2 linked regions of the Oryzias latipes genome follow. The protein of the gene in region 1 purifies or fractionates together with the protein of each later gene. This does not show direct contact. Links are inferred from orthologs where the notes say so. Each region holds a gene or a part of one and is shown on either strand. Other genes may lie near its edges.

Evidence for each region. Proteins that work in one complex are often made in the same cells at the same time.
Region 2: the proteins of pes1 (region 1) and rpl7l1 purify together in Homo sapiens (affinity purification with mass spectrometry; 4 studies listed by BioGRID and IntAct, counting the BioPlex papers as one, with this or other methods). This does not show direct contact. The link is inferred for Oryzias latipes from reciprocal best matches to the Homo sapiens genes PES1 and RPL7L1.

The regions. Positions count from the first base shown.
Region 1 is NC_019867.2:13,306,780-13,310,420, reverse strand, and holds part of pes1 (pescadillo homolog), read right to left. Parts: intron 3,129-3,641; coding exon 3,012-3,128; intron 2,940-3,011; coding exon 2,862-2,939; intron 1,889-2,861; coding exon 1,799-1,888; intron 1,013-1,798; coding exon 882-1,012; intron 247-881; coding exon 121-246; intron 1-120. UniProt on the Homo sapiens protein: Component of the PeBoW complex, which is required for maturation of 28S and 5.8S ribosomal RNAs and formation of the 60S ribosome.
Region 2 is NC_019882.2:429,004-432,848, reverse strand, and holds the end of rpl7l1 (60S ribosomal protein L7-like 1), read left to right. Parts: intron 1-864; coding exon 865-1,002; intron 1,003-1,067; coding exon 1,068-1,177; intron 1,178-2,579; coding exon 2,580-2,788; 3' UTR 2,789-3,002; downstream 3,003-3,845.

The DNA of each region.
Region 1 (3,641 bases):
CCTTTAAGTTTTCATTCAGAAATATAGCATTCAACCCTGCATTTTCTTCTGGAAATGCAGCTCCTTCTAGTTTTTAAACTGCATCTGATCAGAAATGTCATCAAAAATCGTTTTCTTCACCTGTTGATGTAGCTTTTGTCCACATTAGGTCTGTCCACAATTTGATGTGTGATCGTCTCGTCTGTGGCATCATACGTGCTCCCAATGCAGACAGACCTGTCCCAGGACACCTCTCCACCAAAACACCTGAAAGGCAGAAGCAAAGCTATTGGATTTATTGTGACCATTACTTTATGATTAAGGTCACACTCCGATCATCTTTGGATTTATTATTAAGCGTTCCTTCCCACTGGTCTTGTAATTATGATTATGCCATTTTTAGCTAAAATCAGTAAAACCTGCTCCGTTTTCTGGGTCATATTTCCTGCGGAGCGGCAGGAGTTCATTAGAAATTCACCTCTTGACTGTTTTCCGAGAGCAACCTTCCCCCATTTCCCGTCACCCATAACTGAGCTCTCTGCTTATGTGTTCTCCTGCTAGCTAACAGCCCCCCCCCCCCCCCCCACCTAATATTACCGGTGCAACAAAAACGGCGAGCAATATCGGAGATATCCAGACGTACAGTTTTGAGCCAGATATCAGCTCAGTTGAGGTGCATCAGAATGGAGCGGAACAGGAAGCTTGTGAGCCGCTGATTGTAACACCTACAAGGTTTATCAAATGGCATTTTTTTGTCTGCTCCTGTTTCACAGCAATTTGAATAAAGAAATACTCAGAAATGCAATTCCGGGCATAATTTTCCTCTATACATGTACTCCATAAAAACACCAAAACACAATTTTCATCAGAATGGAGCTTTAATTTCCCAAAAGTGTGTTTACCTGATGACAAAAGCCAGTGACTCTCTGGGAACTTCCCTGTTCAGGAAAAACTTGAGTCCCTCAAAAATCTTTTTTTGGGTTTCCAGCTGCATTTGCTCCTTTTCTCGAGCTTCGACTTTCTCCAAATCCTCCTGGAGAAGAAAAATAACAATAAAAAAAAGTTTCAAATACTGATGAGTTTTAATTTTGCCTTTATAAATGGAGCGATAAAGATTAATTGCATGTATCCTAATTCACTTCTTGATGATGCAGGCTAAACTTAAGGCTTTCCATTATGCACCGAAAATGCTGACCCTTAACCCTAAAATAAGTCATTTTTCTATATTAATTATAAATGACAATTCTTTATTTTATTTTAAGAAATAAACATTGCTTTAAAAGAGTGAAATTCATAAATATTCATTATGCATGTTCATGACACAAACTAGTATTAAAAAAAAAAATTCAAAAGTAAAATGTTTAGGTAATTAATCCTCTTTTTGTCACATTTGACAGAACTTTGCATTGTACCATCATCAGTGTGGTGTTCAGAGGCAGATGAGTGTCTTTGAAAAGACCAAACGTTAGTTTAGACTTGGCTCTTTAAACTGCACTAATGACTTTTATGGCTCTCAAAAAATGTTTGTTTGTTTTTTTAAAGAGCCATATGAAGTCCCTATGGTGTTACGCGATTCCTAGATGACCATTTTAAACTGGCAAAGCAAAACAAGCTTCTCAGGTGAGAACCAAAGCACCAATGGCAAACAAACATAAAGCTGTAAATCCCTGGTTACATTCTAATTTTTTAGCCCAATTGTCCTGAGAGAGTAATGAATGTCCTATGAATTTATTTGGTGTTGTTTTGGAGTTTTTCCACAAAATAAACATTTGTATCAAGTATAATAAAAACAAATGTAAAAATTCCAAACATGTCTTGCCTCCTCCGTAGGAAACGCATCGAGCTGAGCATCTTCTTCCTCTGCTGTAGAAACAACCCGGGCCAGGCTGGCACTGAGAGCTGCAAGTTTCTGCACAGATAAAACATCACGTTTTCCCCCTGTCATCTACTTCATTTTTATTTATGTTTATACAGTATTAGAAAAAGAGGGAAAAAAACTCAGACTAAAGTTTTAGTTTAATAAAATACCATCCATTTTAGCACCATGATGCCTAAATCCTGTTTGATCCTGCTTTTATGTAAATAAAGGAAAAGTCTATGGTGGACCTGAAGTAAAAATCATTCAATGCAAAAACATATTTAAGATCAAAACAACAACAAAAAGATGATAATGATAAAAAAATATCTATATATCTATATATATATATATTTTACATTTTAGAAACCAAACCATAAAAAAAAAACATTTTTGGAAAACAAAAGGAATTGCCAGAATTAAAATGAAATGTTTAAACATTAAATAATAAGAGACCAAGAAAGGTGGGTATCACTGACTGGATGAAGATGTTTGAGTTTTGAAGAAGAGGGAAAGCAGAAGAATGTGTTGCCCAAACTGTGGTTGAGAGTAGAATGAGCAGTCAACCCTTTGCAGTAACTGAGGCCAGAAGTTTAATCAAATATCTTCTGTCTACAATGCCAAATAACTTTTCGTTGAAAAGGTGATCAAACGTCATCATTCAATCAGTTAGGACCCACAATACCGACCTTTCCTGGTTTCTCCTTTTGTTTCTGGACATTAATTTTAATTTCTGAAACGTTTCATTTTTATTTTGTTTCCTTTTTCTGGTATTGTGTTTTGGTTTTGGCTTCTGGAATATTGCTTCAATTACTAAAATGTAATCTTATTCATTTATGTTTTTTAATAGTTTTGTCTTTTTTAATTGTCATTGTGATCTTTCACAAGTTTTTTTGCTAAATGTGTTAATGTGATTTTAGGGCCACAATAAAAGTCAAAGAGAAAATAAATACTAAAACAAAAGGCCGTAAATAAAAACAGGCATTTTAGGCTGTTCACTGTGGGAAACAAATAAATAAAAACTAACCTCGGGGTAGCTCTCTGAGTCCATAGCATATTCATCTTCATTCTCTCCCTTGAGCTCCGACTCTGCTTTAATGTCCAGCTGTGTGAAAACAGAGTAGGTTCAAAGTGGAGCTCATACGTATGTCTTAAAATCGTCTCCAGTTCAAAATACCTTTGGAGGGTAGACCAGGTTGAGGGAATGGTAGAGCCTGAAGTTCACAAACCCCAGCAGGGTTGTGTACAACTCTGTGAAAGTTGCCATGACTCTGTAGTCAACATCTGTTGGGTGCTAAAACAGCAAAAATATTATTTTAGAAAAATAAAAGGTCTACTCACCAAATAACTGTGTCAAAGTGAAACATTTCAACATATAATTTGAGTAATAATTCAAAAAAATAGTTTAAAATTACACTTTATAAAAATGATCAAAAATCACATGAACGTTTATGTAGCTTTCCTCCCTCTTTTAGCTGTTAAATTGTCTATTTGTAAAGAAGAATTATTTCTTCTGAGGACATCAGTATTTGGAAAACAATGAAAAGGCACTGAAGCAAGTCAACATAAAGGAGTCTCGGCGTCTGCACCTCAACTGGAAATTAATCACCTTTAATTAAAATGTTTTGGTTCCTAAATGACTTAGATGGTATTTAAAAGTAAATATAAAAAGATGATGTCAGACTTTGGAAACTATGTAAACAGCTTTACTAATTAACTGGGGACTTTCTGTGTTTAGTTAGAACATTGTTGATTTTGCTGTCACTGCTTATTGGTATATTCCTTATGAACCTCATTTCATCAATTT
Region 2 (3,845 bases), on another chromosome or scaffold:
GGTTATCCACAGAGGAACGTCAGGTTAAACGCAGAGGAACGTCAGGTTATCCACAGAGGAACGTCAGGTTATGCACAGAGGAACGTCAGGTTATCCACAGAGGAACGTCAGGTTATCCACAGAGGAACGTCAGGTTATCCACAGTGGAAGGTCAGGTTATCCACAGTGGAAGGTCAGGTTATCCACAGTGGAAGGTTAGGTTATCCACAGTGGAAGGTCAGGTTATCCACAGAGGAACGTCAGGTTATGCACAGAGGAACATCAGGTTATGCACAGAGGAACATCAGGTTATCCACAGATGAACGTCAGGTTATGCACAGAGGAACGTCAGGTTAAACACAGAGGAACGTCAGGTTATCCACAGTGGAAGGTCAGGTTATGCCTGTATCGTCTCTCAGTCCTCCCTTCTTCCAGCTCCGTTCTTCCACAGAAACCGCTCTGACCACAGGGATTAGTGAGCAGTTCCTTCATGGGAACATTAATAAAATCATCTGGTATATGACAGAGCTGACATATCTATGCATGTAGCCTCCCAGCGGGACTCATTTCCTCTTCCTGTATTCCAACACTGCTGCGGATGTGTGAATGATTCATTCTGACTGGAAGGCCACCATGTGAACGTTTGTTAGAAACAGACTAAGTTTTTCTGGGCCCACGAACACGCTTGATTCTGATCCGACCATTGATCCCATCAACATATTTTGCTCATGTAACCACGGCTTATGGTGTCGACTGGCAGCGTGGCGGGGGTGTGGCGGGGGCGTGGCATCACCATGGTGTCTCTCCATGGTGATGCCGGTCTGTCGGCACGACCCTACTTGTCTGAGGAGAACCCTGACCAGTGTGGTGCTTGTGGCCCCCCAGGATCAAAGGCGTCAGCCCCAAAGTCAGGAAGGTGGTGCAGATGATGAGGCTGAGGAAGATCTTCAGTGGAGCCTTCATCAAGATCAATAAGACGTCCGTGGCCATGATGAAGGTGGTGGAGCCGTACGTGGCGTGGGGGTGAGTTCCTCGGCCCGCTCTCCTTCCGCTTTGGGTTCTTTGATGTTTATCGGTTCCGCTCTCAGGTTCCCTAACCTGAAGTCGGTCCGGGAGCTCATCCTGAAGCGAGGTCAGACGAGGATCGGCAGGAGGCGGGTTCCTCTGACGGACAACGCGCTGATCGAGCAGCACATGGGTACGTCTTTTCAAAATAAAACACATCTTTGTGCTTAGAGCTGTGACGGTGTCGAATTTTTCATCACCGTGGTGATGAACCACCAGGGGGCGCGGTGTCGCGGTTAACCAACAACCAACAACTACATATTTAACTTGTGAACTAACTATAGGTGTTGTAGATTGACTGTGTGTGAGCGCGGAGCGTCTTGTGTAGGAATAGTAGGAAGGCGCGCACACGTGTGTTGGGGGTGTGTGTTGATTCTTCTGCAGCGGACCGCTCTGGAGCTGCACGCAAGTTTCACCTGTGCTCTCTGGTACAGACATCTTCTCAGAATATTATTTATTGCCCAGTAATAAACAGACTGCAGACGCTGTCACCTTTCCGGTAGCCGTGAAGCCTGACAGCCATGAAGAACGCGGGGCAGGAGGCTCCGCCTCTGTTTATACAGACACGTAACGTTACGCTGCAAAAAATAGTTCCCAAAGAAAACATGTAGTGATTTTCATGGAAATCTAACAGTGCGCGTTCATGTTTGGTGTTACGGATTGAAGGAGGACAGTTACACCCCCCCCCCCCCCCCCCCAACACAAAATCCTCCGGTGGGCGGCCGTGTCGCGCACTTAGGAACGCACGCAGCTTGTAATGGAAATGAATACAATGGAAATTAATAATTAGAAAGCAGTAAATTTGTCGTATTTCCTCACGAGACGGAAACTTCTGTTGTAGAATAAGGATGTGTGCTTCTGAAAGCGCGCGCCTGTTTGTGTAAACGGAGCCGCGTGCAGCGCGAAGGCAGACACTGAGAGCACGAGCGGTGGGAGAAAAGGAGACAACAGTCTGAAAGAAAGAAAGTCTGAACACTAGCAGAAAAAGGAAATTATCAGCAAAGATGAACGTGTTTATTATAGTTCCAAACACGCACCAAAAAAAAAAAAAAAAAGTGCGTCAAAAAAGTGCGGTGATGCGGTTATCGTCACAGCCCTATTTGTGCTTGCACTGAAGTCTTTTCAGAATAAAGTTTTAGAAATTGAGAACAAAGATGGAAAAAGAAACTTCCTGCTTGTTGGACACGAATATGAATGTCTCTGCTATAGGCTCCGCCTCCACAAAGACTCTATTTTGTAATTCCAGCAGATTTTCTCGGGTGAAACTTTTTTTCCCTACTTTTCTGGAAATAACAGTAGAACCAACAACAGTTCTGATCATACGGAACATTCTACAGTAAACAGCGTCACAGAGCTGCAAGGAACCCGTCTGAGCCGTCAGAACCAGTGGTTCTGGTCGTGGTTCCTGATTGGTCCGTCTAAGCCCCCGCCCTAAAACCTGCTGTGATTTCCCCCATGGGGGGTTCTGGTGGGGTTCCTGTGCGTGTGTCCTTTTGGACCTCCTGCTCACATGCAGAACCTTCTGCCCCCCCCAGGTAAACATGGGATCATCTGCTTGGAGGATCTGATCCATGAGATCTTCTCAGTGGGGAGGAGCTTCCGGCCCGCCAACAACTTCCTGCTGCCTTTCCGTCTGTCGGTGCCGCGTCACGCCGCACGCGACAAAGCGGGTCTCCTGAAGGACCTGGGGGGGCCGGGCTTCCGCGGCGCCGACATCAACGCCATCGTCAGACTGTTGAACTGATCCGGACCGCAGCTGCTGTGGGTTTGAGGAGAACCGGACCACAGTTCTGCTGCTCCATGACTCGCCCCAGATTACACCCAGAAACTTTGCTGGAGGGGTCACCGTGCACGTGTGTGCACGTGTGTGCACGGCGGAGGAAGACTTCTGCTCCTGCAGGAGCTCCTGAATGAACACTTCCTATAAGAAGACGACTAAATAAAGTTTTTCTACTAAACTGAACGTCCCATTCTGTAAACCGGGGGGGCTAAAGACCCCCCATACCCAGAGTTGCTGGTTCATCAGCTAAAACGGAATGGATTCTGAATGTGGGGGGGTCATAGTGCTGGGAATTTACTGGGGAGGGGTCCGGTTCAGCTGAGGACTTTTTCTGTTTTACCTCCAGCAAACTGTATGAAGCTTGTTTTATTTATAAGAACGGATGATTTATTTGACTTATTTATAGAAACTAATTTATTTGACTTATTTATAGAAACTGATTTATTTGACTTATTTATAGAAACTGATTTATTTGACTTATTTATAGAAACTGATTTATTTGACTTATTTATAGAAACTGATTTATTTGACTTATTTATAGAAACTGATTTATTTGACTTATTTATAGAAACTGATTTATTTGACTTATTTATAGAAACGGATGATTTATTTGATGTAAACCTTCAGAATGAATCTTTGTCGGTTTGACTTTTGCGTTCAGCACCAGAACATCCCAGATTTTGAACTAAATCTGTTGTTCATATGATAGTTTTCTGGAGGAAGTGTAACGGCTGCATTGTGTGCATGAGGATGGAGTTTGGTGCTGGTCGTCAGGCAGATCTCGTGGGATGAATTTGGCGCAGGTTTGGAATTTCCGCTCCATGGGGCGTGCGTGAACGCAGCAACCTCATGTCAAGGAGACTGGGCGGTCCGTGACGTCACGGAGAGGTGGGCCCGGAGTCCCGCCTCTGCGGGTCACAGGTAGGAGCCCTGTTCCGGGGAGGGGGGGCTCGTGGGAGGGACATCATTGGTTCGAGGCGTTGAACGCTCTCCGCGCTGATTGGACAGCGGAGCCACGCGG